Lytechinus pictus: one gene and its partner. The protein of the gene in region 2 purifies or fractionates together with the protein of the main gene of each other region. This does not show direct contact. Links are inferred from orthologs where the notes say so. Each region holds a gene or a part of one and is shown on either strand. Other genes may lie near its edges.

Region 1 (7,566 bases), on a different chromosome or scaffold from region 2:
ACAGCACATGATGTCTCCATCCTGCAGCAAGATCTTCAAACCCTATCAGATTGGTCAGCAAAGTGGCTTATGGCTTTTAATGTCAAGAAGTGTGCTTCCCTTACCATTACTAGGAAGCGAGCTCCCATACAACACAACTACAGGCTTTCCAATGAGGTAATAGCAAAGGTCGACCAATACAAATACCTCGGAGTCACCATCTCCAAAGACCTCCGATGGAATACGCACTGTCAACTTATTGCGAACAAGGCCAGCAAAACCCTTGGGTTGCTGAGAAGAACTCTCTCACCTTGTTCTGAAAAGGCCAAATCAAATGCGTATATGGCCTTGGTTCGACCGCAGCTTGAGTATGGTGCTGAAGCCTGGAATCCCCACACCTCTACTACGGCTGCAAGCCTGGAAAGGGTACAGAAAACAGCTGCTCGCTTTGTGACCCGCGACTATAGAAAATCTACATCAGCCTCAGGACTTGTCTCAAATTTGGGATGGGACCAGCTGCACACACGTCGTATCCTTGCACAAAGCACCATGCTCTATCAGATATACCACCAGTTTGTGAATATCCAGCTTCCACACTTCATAACCCAGGCTCCATACATCAGTAGAAGAGATCATATGCTAAAACTCTCTGTACCACAAGCAACGATTGATGCATACAAATTTTCATATTATCCCCGTACCATTCGTATCTGGAACCATCTACCAGCTAAAGCAGTTACTGCCCCATCAGTTGCTGTCTTCCGGGGGGCTGCCCTTCCTGTCATCAGAGGGTTAAAGCCTCATGTAGGTTCCAGGATGCTGTAAGCACTAGGAGCATGATTTTTACTTGCACTTCACCAATTTTATTGTAAATAGAATTCCAACAAAATTGTCTGCACCATCACCTTCTGTCACACTCACAGCACATCCCATCCCAGTTTAGCTTGGAAGAGCTGCTTAAGGGATTATTCCTTCAAGGTTCAAGGGAGCCCACCGCATCGGGTAGCTCGACTGCCAAGAGACCGGCTGTGACAAGGGTAGCTCGCTTCTCTTATATCTGGACAGCTCAACGATAGAATCTTTTAATTTAATTTTAATTTTTTTGTTGATTTGAATATATTCTATAACAATTCAGATACATAATTGGATCGTAGTTCTACTTACCATTAAAAAATTTCGATCATTTGCGCATCCAAAAATTTGATGAACTTTCAAGCTCCGATATCCACACTTCAAATCACAGGCGAGTATCCACATTGAAACTTATATGTACAGAAAGAGCACATTTTCAACTGTCTGTATCAAGGCACGAGATTGCATCAACTATGTGCGCATGCGCATGAAACCCCATTTTTGATGAGCCTCCCAGACAGAGGCGATGCCACTTGCAGCGAAACCCGCGCGAAAACCGTGCAGCCAAAACCAGCGCTCGCGATGCGCCCGTATTCGCACATACCTACATTGCTACAAAAAGGGAATTTTTTCCTACTACAGTCTACAGGGAATATTTTGGGGGGCACTTGCCCCCCCCCCCCCTTTCCCACCCCCAGTTCCGCTGCCCCTGGTCTAGCTCATGATTATGCTTAGGCCTAGATCTAAGTGTCCTGGCACGTCTTTATACTCTTATTTATTTGGGGCAACAAGACCTCCCACGAAAACGAACGAATGGGACCGTGCAAAAAAAATTAATGCAAGCTGATTCGTTGAAATTCTCCAACAGTACCCCATACTTACTGCCATCCTTTTGAGATCTTGCAGCTATCCAGTGTCTCAATCGTTTGATTGCCCTGTCACGTATTTTCTTTTCATTTGAAGCAAGTCTCTGAGCAAAATGAATTTCGACGCTGTGCGGCGATTGTCCACATGGCGCTGCCATCTTTGATCACGTAGTTTACATTACAGGAGCATGGGTGTAGTCTTCGGGTACAGACCTTCGGTTTTCGCATACTAGTATTCATAATTTTATTTTTTTTAGTAGAAGAAAAAAGAGAAGAAGTGTAATGATTTGCTGATAACATCATAACAGACATGGGTGTCGATCACGGGGGGGATGGGGGGATATATCCCCCCCAATATTTCAAGTGGGGGGGATGGCCTGTATTATCATCCCCCCCCCCCCAATAATTTAGGGTAGAAAATTTATAATAATGATGATGAAAAAATGAAAAGTTTGATCATGATCGATGATTATAGTGATGATTATAGTATGCCATCAATCCTTTTGTTTCCCTCGCAATTTGTGTATATTGTTATTAAATAAAAACATTCTTTTCCAGGACTTAACAGATGGGTGGAGGTTCAAGATGAAAATGAATGAAATGTTTATGTATATGATATTTTTTAACACATGACATAAAAGGACCCCGACGAAAAACAACTTTTGTTAATAGGGTGTTCCATCCCACCAGTGGTAATATGATCATATTTTAACAATTTTTTAATAATTGAAATCAATTAATGGTTTCAAAAAGAATAATCATTCATTTCTCTCTAAAGCGTATCTTCGGATATGAACATCGGATGTTTTTTTCATGTTATTCTTGTTGTTGTTATGGATTTGAATAACTAAACTTGATTGATTTTTTCTTATTTTGGCAAAAAGAAATAGACAGCGGATAGATAGACGTGATGTGACGTGGTCTTGGCGTCCTGAGATTATTGCCAAGATTTGCAAGAAGATACTGATTTCTTTTCTATTTTTTATGACTTGACTTAATTGTGATTGTAAACACCTATGTTTTCGTGATGTAATTGCCACAAAATTTTCGTTATTGGACTGATCTGGAGGGAGAAACAGCAAATCTGCATTGCCGAACGATCAGCATTTGAACGTAACTATATATATTCTCTCAGTCCCATATGTACTTTTGATCGTCACATATATCCGTGTGTATACTGTTCCCGCCTAAGCCTTACGTTCGCTTCGGTGTCCGATCATGGCGGGTAAGGGGGATGGCGCCAGAGTGAAGCGCACCCCTAAAAGCAAGAAAAAGGTGAAACATACCAATCCAAATGATTCTGAATGTGATATAGCTGATGACACTGTTACGATTGATATGTCTGAACATTCACCTAATGATGATTATCACCTTCAAACAATTCTCACTAAATTACTCAAAACAAAAGAATTCATGAAAACACTGGAGACTGTAGTGTCTGTAAAGAAACAATGGATAAAGTAGTGAATGTTCAATGTGAAAACATGCGTCGCCACATAGAAGAAAATGAATCAGCCATCATTCAACTTCAAAATTCTTTGGAGAGTAAAGAGAAAGAAACATATATTCTGGAGAAACAGCTACAGAATGAAATCGAGAAAAGAGAAGACGTGGAGCGCCAATTGAATATTCTCGAGCAGTATACAAGGAGAAACAGCATTAGAATTTTTGGTGTGAAAGAGAAAATAGGTGAAGATACCGATCAAATAGCAATTGACATTGCCAAGGATCAGCTTGGGTTCAAGTTGAAAAAACACCACATCGATCGATCCCATCGAGTAGGTCAAAAAGATCCAACCAAGGCTAAACCCATCATCGTTAAATTGTGTTCCTACAAACAGAAGACGCAATTTATGAAAGCGAAAAAGACATTGAAAGGGAGTGGAATTTCTATTCAAGAAGATTTGACACTGACAACCCTCAAACTCCTCAAGAAGACAAGCCAACACAAAAATGTAAACGCGGCATGGACAAGTGATGGCCGTATTATCGCCTCGGTTAAAACGACAGATCCTAACACTTCAATGAAGAAACAAATCTTCAGAGAAAGTGACCTTCTTGCCTTATAAACTCTATTAACGCTACAGTTTGTCTATTCCATATGGGCAATTTTAGTAGATCCTGAAAAACTGTGTTATATTAAATACCCTTCTATAATATTTACGAAACTGTTGTTTAAATCAAACCACATTGTATTGTAACTCAACATTAATATATATATATACTAGTATACATAATCATAAAGATTGTAATTTTATATTCTGCATTTGAATAACTCTTTGTATGTCTCAATACAACTTCAACCCGATAAATTTATGGGTTAAATTACTGTCTGTATCCAATGCCTATCAACATACCATTGATATATGCATACTTACATTATTATATTATCATGTGTCTATATATTTGCTGAAGGCAAACCTAAAATTGACGAATTTTCCTCCAGATTATCCGAATTGTTTATGCGCTAAATAATATATAGTAATTGTTTTATACTTTTATATTCTATTTCATTATTATACACCATTATATTGTTTAGATCTTTGCTTATAGTGTGTACATATTCTATATTAGATCTTTAATGGGCTTTTGTATATGTTTTTCCTGCGTATTTAGTCTCTCAAAGTCATATTGTAACAATTGCCATTTCCACTTTAAGAACATGTCTTTAGATATCAATGCCAGTGTCTTAACGATAGTAGTGTACTGCATAAACGAACAATGTAAATCCTTAGATGGTTGAGTCTTTAAACATGTCTTTTTCTGAAGAAGAACTCAAATCTAATGAATGCCACTATTATTTACCCGATGAGTTTAATTCCTGTCATAATAACAACAAGTCTTATTTCAGCTTACTACATTTAAATGCCCGGAGTTTAAGTCGCAACTTTGACAGTGTATCTAATCTACTTAAATCCCTGAACAATTCGCTATCCATCATTGGAGTAAGTGAATCATGGTTAAACCCTAATTCTCCTTCTTTATTCAATTTAGAAGGTTATCAGATGTTACGGTCGGACAGATTACACGGACGTGGAGGAGGCGTAGTATTATATGTAAAAGAAGATATTTCCTTTCAATTAACGACCCCTCTGTCCGAATCACCAGACTTTGAGATGCTTTTTGTAGAAATTACCAATGTCAAATGTAAAAATGTAATTGTAGGTGTAGCGTATCGTCCACCCGGTACGAATATTGAATCATTCACTCTTCAATTAGAATCATGTATCAGTAATTTTTCGAAAGGTGGTAAACATATTTATCTAATGGGCGACTTTAATGTAAACTTACTTACAAAAAACGACCAGACTTATAATACATTCATGTCGTTTCTGAATAGTTACGCCCTCTATCCATTAATAGATAAGCCTACCAGAGTATCCCCGGCATCCGCAACGCTTTTAGATAACATTTTCACAAATGTTGTAAGAGAAGATTTCCAAAGTGGTATTTTATATTCTGATATATCAGATCACCTTCCTATTTTTACAATATCAAGAAAAACACAAGGGAAACGATGTGAATCTAATGAATATTTTAATAGACAATATTCAATCGAAAATATAAACTCCCTTAAAATCGACCTTATAATAGAAACTTGGTCAGATGTATTTCAAGAAACACATGACGTGAACATAGCATATGAACTTTTTCTTCAAAAATTTAAGGAATATTATGATAAAAATATACCTTGTTTGCTCAAAAAGAAAAGAAAAAATAATATTCATAATCCCTGGATTACTAATGCGATAATGAATTCTATCCGAAAAAAGAACCGATTATATAAGTTGTATATACGCAATCCTAGCAATACCGTCCAACATAACATATTTAAGGCTTATCGTAACAAACTAACAGCCGTTATTAGAGCATCACGCAAAATGTATTATACAAATAAACTTAAAAGAGTATCGGGAAATATGTCTGCTACCTGGTCCATCTTAAACAATATCTTAGGTAGGGGCAAAAGAACAGAATTCACAAAAGAAATGTACTCTGAAAAAGAAAAGACACGTGACCCACAGAAAATTGTAAACATCTTAAACAAATATTTTGTAAACATAGGGCCAACGTTATCAAAAACTTTTATAACTAATGAGCACTCTTTTAAAGATTTTTTACCTGATCGAGCTGAAAACTCGATATTTTTCAAACCCGTAAGACCACACGAAGTTATATCCATAGTAAAATCCCTTAAAAATACCAAAACTTGTGGTCATGACGATATTAACTCACTTATCTTAAAACAAATAATCTTTTTTATAGCTGAACCACTATGTCATATTTTCAACTTATCATTGTCTCTTGGATGCTATCCGAATTCTTTCAAATTAGCACGGGTCGTACCAATATTCAAAAAGGGAAATCGTATCCAATGTGAAAATTACCGACCTATATCTATCTTACCCTCTTTATCTAAAATCTTAGAAAGAATAATCCATATCCAGGTATATATTTTTTTAGACAAAAACAAATTACTTTGCACCGCCCAATATGGTTTTAGGAGACAACATTCAACTGAATTAGCAGTTTTGGACTTATATGATAGAATAACCAAATCCCTTGCAAAAAAACAATATATAACTGGATTATTTTTGGACCTTTCAAAAGCGTTCGACACGCTTGATCATTCAATATTAATACATAAACTTGAACGTTATATGGTATAAGGGGTACGCCTCTTGCATGGTTCAAAGATTATTTAAAGAACAGAATTCAATACACTGAGGTCGACTTAAATGTATCACAAATTTTAGAACTCCAGTGTGGCGTCCCACAAGGATCCATTCTTGGGCCGCTTCTTTTTATAATATATATGAACGACATTGTAAATTCTTCCAAAATGCTTAGCTATGTGTTATTTGCAGATGATACGACACTGTTATATTCCCATCATGATTTTAATAAAATGATCGTCACTATCAATGTAGAATTACGTAAACTAACCAACTGGCTACAATGTAATAAGTTATCTCTAAACCTCAGTAAAACCAATTATATTATATTTCACAACCCAATAAAAAAGATTATGGAAGACCAGTGCCAAATCTTAATAGACAATACCCTAATTGAAAGGAAAACTAATGTTAAATTTCTTGGCGTTGTTCTCGATCAACATTTAAATTGGAATTTGCATTTTCAGCATCTAAGAACTCATATTTCTAGATTTATTGGTATAATGTTTAAACTTAAAGATACGTTAATGCCAAAGTCTATTATACTATTGTACAATTCTTTTATATTATCTTATTTATCTTATGCTAATATTGCGTGGGGTTGTGGAACCAAAAGAAATGTTAATTCCTTATTGCTACTGCAGAAAAGAGCCATAAGAATTTGCACAGGTTCTCCTTACTTAGCCCATACTGATCCAATTTTCAAAAAACTGAACATATTAAAAATATCTGATATCAATATCTTACAAACTGCAAATTTTATGTTCAATTATACTAATCACTTGGTTCCAAGCAATTTTAATTCAATGTTTATACGCAATAACCAGGTTCATGAACACAATACCAGAGGTTCTAACAATTTTCATCTTAGTAATCCCAAAACAGTACTTGCTTATAAATCCATTAGACATAGAGGACCTGATGTTTGGCACTCGCTGCCTTGTGAAATTAAAAAATGTTCTTCGCTTTATTCTTTTAAACGTAAGCTAAAAAAACACATTATATCATCATATGACTCATAAATATTCTTAAAGTGTATTTTGATAATTTATATATTGTTACACTGGCTTCCAGTTCCCGATGGGGGATGGGGGGGGGGTTAGGACATTTGTATTTATATTTTTTTCATCCTGTTCATGTCATCATTTTAACCTATGCCAATATATGTATTGCCATGATGGCACTCGGGGTCT
Region 2 (7,402 bases):
AATAATAATAAGAGAAAATGGTAATTTTTTATGTTTTCGAAAAGGCAAAAAAATAAATAAAAAGGCAAATAAAGATGCATTGTAACAAAAAAAAAGATTATTCAATGAGAGACACAGGGAACGGTTCAGGAAAAAAAATCTCTATTGGCAATTAAAATCCAAAATTAAGATATGTCTCTTTATGTTTCAATGAAGTTTGTCAGCAAACATGGCTCAAACTGTAAAACAACTCACTTTTACACAACTCATGCACCATTAAGAGTGTAAATGCAACAAAATGCAGAATATATTTTTTTTTAAAGAATTTGACTGAAAAACTGATAATTCTTGACAACCAATTTAGTGTGTATTATACAGAGAACGGGCCAATAATCATTTTTATCACATTAAGAGTACTTGATTCATGCTTTTGCAATGGTTTACCCATTTTATTCAAAGTATAAAAATCAGAGCAACAAGTAAAATTAATATCTCAACCCAAAGCATGCATTTCTCACCAGGGAATAATTTTCCTCCTCAAAATTTGATTAGCATTTCTGGTTGTATCTTCCAACAATATTTTGTAAAGTGATGAAAAAATGGAGAGCTAATAGCAATGTGATACCAGAAAAATTATCAGCTGTAACCAATAAATCTGTAAATGAGAATGCTTCAGGATCTTTCATAGCATGAAAATATGGCAATACTCACCACAAACCCAAAGCCATTTTTTAGATTGATTTCACGTATTCTACCAAAACCTCTGAAAAACCTTTCAACATCCCTCTCTCGAGCTTGGTAGCTCAACCTTCCAACATAGACTCTTCCACTTGACATTATCTAGAAAGGAATTAATGTGAGACAGATAAATTAGTTAATTAATTTTAGTCCTTAACTTCAGTCTTTAACGAAATCAAAATTACGAATCTTTATATAGACTGAAGTTAAAAACTAAAATTATGTGAACAAATGGGTAAGCTGCTGCAGATCTTTCGAACGCTAAGAATTCGCGCATCTGTATTGGTTGGCCATTTCGTGAGCATTTTGAAAGGGAGGAAACGGATGCCAGTGCATTTTTTCCCCAAGGTCTACCTACTGCTTCAATGTTAGGAGCCTACAGTCAGTTAGACAAACATCAGTAGAATTGAGGTGGGTGAATGATTTCTTTTTTTTATTTGGGGTGTTTTTGGTACCCCATTGGTACCCCAGCCTCTGGGTTAATGCTTATGGTACAAGTAAAAATGAATTATACTTATAATAATAATAATTTGTAATGAAGTATTAAATTTTATTATTTGTTAAATAATGTTTATCTATAAATTGTTCTTCAAAACAGCATTTTGTAACATCGCTAATCAAAGGTACGTCATAACGAAGCGGTTCAAGGGTCAAGCCTATTGTATTTGCTTTGTTGACAAACGGATCGGTCTGGTAAGATACCTCATATTTCACATTCATAGTGAAATAATTCTTATCCCTTCATATGCATTAGGCATATATGAAGGTTCATAGATAAATAAAATAAATACATACAAACCAATTTCACCGTCTAAATATGGATTTCCTAGGGAAATCCATCCGGGTTTGTAGGTCTCGCTTATGCGTCTACGGGAAGAGTTTCAAGGCTCCGTGATGAAGTATATGTCATAATATTTAAAAATATCATCAGGGAGTCCTCAAGGATAGAAATAAACATGATTTTTATACCATTCAATGATTGTATTTTTGTTTTGGTCCAATTATGCTTAACCTTATAAAGTTTCCGATATTTGGACACTTTACTCTAAGTGAGTTAAAGGTATTGTTTAACTTTGTGAGCAGCCGATTTAAAAAATTCTCAAACCAAGATGAAACAAGTGTACAAGTGCATGTATTAGAACTAATAAACCCTGAAAACAACCATTATTGAGAATGCTAAAACTACAAGGCAAACCCCGATTTTGTAAAAAGGCGTCTTACAGACGCCTAAATAGTACACATAAGTGTATGGGAAGAAATTAAGATAGATGGTGTTTTCAGTCACTTTATATTTCAATTTTTGAAGCACTAAATAATTATTTTCGAACGAAATTTTTTCTGGGCTTCATTTTTATAACATATCACAGACACAGGTGACAAGTGTGACCTTCTAGCTCAGATTTTTAAAAGTCAAACCAATGTTAACCAATCACTTTAACCAAGTTATCTAGACTTTAATGGTTGTGAATGGCATGCACAAAGTCAAATAGGCCTCGGCCTCGTATAGCACAATCCAAATTTTGGAAAGACTTCCTTATGTCCCCTCCACTAAAAAAAAAATACTTCTCCAAAACCCCCTTCTTTCATTCTTATTTTCTTCATTTTTTCTTCATCTTCCACTTTCAGTTTCAGTTGGAACTTGGATTCGAACCTCTCGCTGCAGAACGAGCATCAGACTCCAGTCTGTCGCCTTACTACTCATTGAGCTAGCAGAAATTGTTGAAAGCCATGGGTTTCATAACGGTTATCAACCGATATTACAACTAGTCTACTCCCCAAGAGTATTTATTTTTCTGACTAAATAAAACGATGCCATTACTACATTGGGAATTACACACACTCGAAATTTGGACAGAATATTCAATAAAGCCACGGTATGTATCCAACTTTTCCTTCTTAAATCTCTTAGATATATGTTAGATAATTCTTCATAAACCTCCATATTTTTTTTTCAATTTCAGTGGAGGGGACATATGGAAGTCTTGCCCAAATTTCGATGCCAAGTGGCCAATCATTCCACACGCACAACTCGATGCGATAGATGTGACCTCACGACGCCACCACATATGCACTGCACTGGCACGTGCATATGCCATACTCCATCTCAAATACTCAATTCTCAGACTCATAAAAAAAAAAGATTTTAAAAAACCTTTCTCTTTCACACATTTTTACTCCTAAAAAGTTGAATCAAAGAATTAAAAAAATCTTGAATTAAAAGTACATGATATGAAAGGAATATTAGCCATCAAAACTTACGACTTCTGAAACAAAACACGAAGAAAAAACCTCTCCCAACACAACTGGCCCACAGCTCCGTCCAGGCTCGTCACAAAATGGCGGAAAAGAGAACGCACGCTTTATTTTTTTCATGGTTGAATTGCGCATGCGTAATGTACAAAATACGACTAGTACTAGTCTGCAGGCACAGACCCTTGATTTTCGCAATTCGCATAATGCAGAGTCTGAAGTAGTGAGACTAGATTCAATATATACAATTAAAGGTCAATTCCACCTAAGAATAATGTTGATTTGAATCAATAAGTGAAAAATCAGACAAGCATTATGCTAAAAATTTCATCGAAATCGGATGTATAATAAGAAAAAAGTTATAATATTTAAATTTCCGCTTATATTTCACAAAATAGTTAGATGCACAATTTAGCCACATGCAAATGAGAGAATCGATGATGTCCCTCACTCACTATTATTTTTTTTATTGTTTGAATTATACAATATTTCAATTTTTACAGAGACAACAAGGTCCAACTTGAATGAACCATAAAATGTTATGGTATGCTTAATACAATTGTTTCTAAGTGCAGCATACTATTACCCCGGCTTCATAACACAGCTATACCCTGGTCGGACCTCGAGCATTCAAGCGATATCCTTCTACTGGTTACCCATTTACTACACCTGGGTGCAGAGTGGCAAATGTAGATAAACACCTTGCCAAAGGACTCGAGTGCCGTGGTGGGATTTGAACCCGATACCGTGTGGTTCAAAGCCCGGAGACTTATCCACTGGGCCACAACACCTCTAAACAAACATCATCACACAAAAAAAGAGGAGAAATCAGAAGAAAAAAATTATATTCATCTACTTTGACCCCTTTCACTTACTGACGGGCAGTTGCGTACCTAGAATTTTCCACAGGGGGGCCGGGGCAAATTCGTCCGCCAAAAAAAATTGACAAGCAAAAAAAAAAAAAGGTCTTCAACCACAAATAAAGGATTTCGTACCAGACAAAAAATTTGACAAGCAAAAAAAAAAAAAAAAAAAAAAGGTCTTCAAGACTCGTCAGGGGGGCAATCTGCCCCCCCCCCCCGTAGGTACGCTAGTGCTGACGGGTTGAAATCACTTCACTGCATATAAGGTTGCTTCAAATGCATGTATACGATGAAGTCTCAATGAATTGGGAAATATTTGAGAATAACATGCAACACGCGTCATTTTATTTAAGATCTCATTAAATGAAAGAAGAAAATATCAATATTAAAAGGACAAGTCCATCCCAACAAAAAGTTGATTTGAATAAAAAGAGTAATATACAACAAGCATAACACTGAAAATTTCATCAAAAAGGAATGTAAAATAAGAAAGTTATTGACATTTGAAAGTTTTGCTTAAAGGAGAATGAAACTCTTGGAGCAAGTTAGCTTTTGTGAAAGCAGAAAAATCAAAGAATAAGATCAACAAAAGTTTGAGTAAAATAGGACTAAAGCAATAGAAGAGTTATGAGCATTTGAATGTCGAGATCACTAATGCTATGGAGATCCTCCCATTGGCAATGCGGCCAAGATGTATGATGTCACAGATGAACAACTCTCCCCTTTTGGACACTGAAAATATTTATTTATTTATTTATTTATTTTGTTTTATTTATTTTATACTGCAGGGTAGGCCTGTTCAGTTCTTAAAACTGCTTTACAAAGGCGCCCTGCAGTTTAAAATACATGTCAAGATAACCATGAACAACAACAACAACAACAAACAACATCAAAAATACAAAATAAAAAATATCTAACATCAGAAACAATTAACACCAAAATATAGAGTGGGAAGTGACAATTTAAACATACATAGCATTGTAAATCAATGGAATATCATTTCGCTCTTTATCAATTCGTATGAAAGGCTTTGCATAATTTTTTTAAAACTAACAAGGAGGTACAAACTTGTAAATTTGAAGGAAGTGCATTAAATAATTTGGGTCCGACATATGCGAAAGATTTTCTTTTATGTTCAATTCTAGCTTTGGGAAGCTGAAGGGGGCATCGTAAAGAAAACCGTGTCCTGTATTTCACGGGCCGTTTACATACTAAAGGTTTTAAATAATTTGGAACTAAATCATTCATTATTTTATATACAAGAACACAATACTGATATTTTATACGCTGATCTACTGATTGCCACTTCAGTGACTGCAACAAAGAAATTTGTGATGTATTATAATCTTTTTTTCAAAAGCATTCTGGCATATTTATTTTGAAGTTTTTGTATCTTATTTAAATGTATATTTTGTACTTTTTGCAAAATATACCCCAAAACATTTCTTTTTGCTCATTCTAATCATATGACAATCGATTCATCAATGATATAATGTTGTGAAACCTCTGTACTTGTCCTCTCATAAAGAGAACACCTCACCTTGTGATAGACTCTATAAAAGTGAGAATATAAAGGAAATAAGTACTAAAGTAATGAGGGAGTTGTACGTGTGTGACATCACAGATCTTGGTCGCATTGCCAATGGGAGGAACTACATGGCATTAGTGATCTCAATATTCAAATGCTCATAACTTTCTTATTATTCATTCAATCTTCCTCAAACTTTCAACAATATGTTTCTTTGATTTTTCTCTTTGATATCGATTCAGCTGGGTTCAAGGGTTTCATTCTCCTTTAAGGGGAATCCAGTCTTGGCCATAAAATGTTGTGTTGGGAAGGAGAAAAATAAATTAAACAGAATGGTGAAAGTTTGAAAGAAATCGGACAAGCAATAAGAAAGTTATAGCTGCTTTAAAATTGAGATCACTAATAGTATGTAGATTTCAAATTGGCAACTGGGTAAGTAAATTATGACAAGGGGCAAGGACAACTTTCCCATAGGCCATGTACTTTATTATCAGGGATTTGTGGTTTTCTCCTACGTACCCATTCCCCTGGGGCAGTAATCTAAATATAACCCAGGTAGTATATTGTTTTATGTCCTCATGAAAGAAAAATATAATTTGAAATAAAACTTTTGGGAAAAATTAAATTTTATGCATTGGAGTACATAGAAGAGTAGTCCTTGCCTTACATCACTATGACATCCCATATGCGGCCAATTTGAAGTCTCCATGGGTATAGTGATTACCAATATTTACAACTTTTAAAAATTCATAACTTTCTTGTTGTTTGTCCAATATTGTTCAAACTTTCACCTATCAACTTGTCTGATTTTTCTCTTTCTTGTAAAAACAAGTTTTTATTTGGGTTGGATTCCCCTTTAATTTCACAATTTAGTCATGGACATCCTGGTCGGTTTGTAAATGAGGAGACTGACGAAGTCATCCACTCACTATTTATTTTGTATTTTGTTTGATTAAATATGCAATATTCTACTTTTCTCCTCATTGTCAAGTGAAACAAAGATTAATTCCTCCCTGATGAACATGTAGAATTAGCATTGTCTATAATTATGGTTCATTCAAGTTAATTGGTCCTTATTGTCAAATCTGTAAAAAAATGATATATTGTACGGTATACTTCAAACAATAAAAAAACAAAAGAAATAGTGAGTGAAGGACATCATCGACTGTTTCAATTGCATGTCACTAAATTGTGCATATCACTGTTTTGTGAAACTATAAGCGAATCTTTAAAATGTCATAACTTTCTTATTTTATATCCGATTTTGATGAAATTTTCAGCATGCTAGTTTGATTTTTCTTTATTTATTCAAATCAACATTTTACTGGGATTTTCAGCACGCTATAGTTTTATTTTTCTTTATTTATTCAAATCAACATTTTACTGGGATGGACTTGACCTTTAAGTTACGAACTTTGTAACAGCATGACTTTGCCGGTGAGCCATCACGTTCTTGTTTCAATCGGTCGCGAGCGTTATAAGAATGTTGACATAGAAAGAAGAGAATCATATCTTTTCATTTATGTACATCTCATGAAGTAAATTTATGATCATGACAACCTAAAATTACACTAAATTACGGTTTCGTGTTTTTTTCTTCTGGGATGCACTGTATAGAGAAAGGGGGTGGGGGTACCTATTTGGTATTTTAAAGGAGCACCCCTGGCCCCCTTGTAAAAAAAAGAAAATGTTGGCCGTTTTCAGACTTGGATTTTTTTCTAGTCAATTTCTGGAGGAGTTAAATTTTGACCCTTTTCTTTTTTGCTGCTCATATCCTACCCGTTAAAAAATAATTAATAAATCCAGGATAATGATTGCAGTATAACGGTGTGTGACCCCGGGGTGTGTGACCTTCTTCAGGCCGGGAAGTTTTTTTTTTTTGTCGCAGAAAGGCCACTCTACTTTGCCTCTGCCCGACGACCCGAATGGCTGACGGAAATTACCGAGAGATCGATCTCGAGCGAGTATGGATGCCCATTCTTATGTAGCTAGCTAGGCTCAACTCGAAGCTCTGCGAGCCCCACGGCCTATGGCGGAGCATCCG

The links. The genes of interacting proteins can lie anywhere in the genome.
Region 1: the proteins of serine/arginine-rich splicing factor 5-like (region 2) and ribosomal RNA processing protein 1 homolog A-like purify together in Homo sapiens (affinity purification with mass spectrometry; 3 studies listed by BioGRID and IntAct, with this or other methods). This does not show direct contact. The link is inferred for Lytechinus pictus from reciprocal best matches to the Homo sapiens genes SRSF6 and RRP1B.

The regions. Positions count from the first base shown.
Region 1 is NC_087252.1:14,096,389-14,103,954, forward strand, and holds the start of ribosomal RNA processing protein 1 homolog A-like, read right to left. Parts: upstream 3,043-7,566; 5' UTR 2,984-3,042; intron 1,927-2,983; 5' UTR 1,856-1,926; coding exon 1,714-1,855; intron 1-1,713. UniProt on the Homo sapiens protein: Positively regulates DNA damage-induced apoptosis by acting as a transcriptional coactivator of proapoptotic target genes of the transcriptional activator E2F1.
Region 2 is NC_087251.1:24,526,048-24,533,449, reverse strand, and holds the start of serine/arginine-rich splicing factor 5-like, read right to left. Parts: upstream 3,312-7,402; 5' UTR 3,106-3,311; coding exon 2,977-3,105; intron 820-2,976; coding exon 691-819; intron 1-690. UniProt on the Homo sapiens protein: Plays a role in constitutive splicing and modulates the selection of alternative splice sites. Plays a role in the alternative splicing of MAPT/Tau exon 10. Binds to alternative exons of TNC pre-mRNA and promotes the expression of alternatively spliced TNC.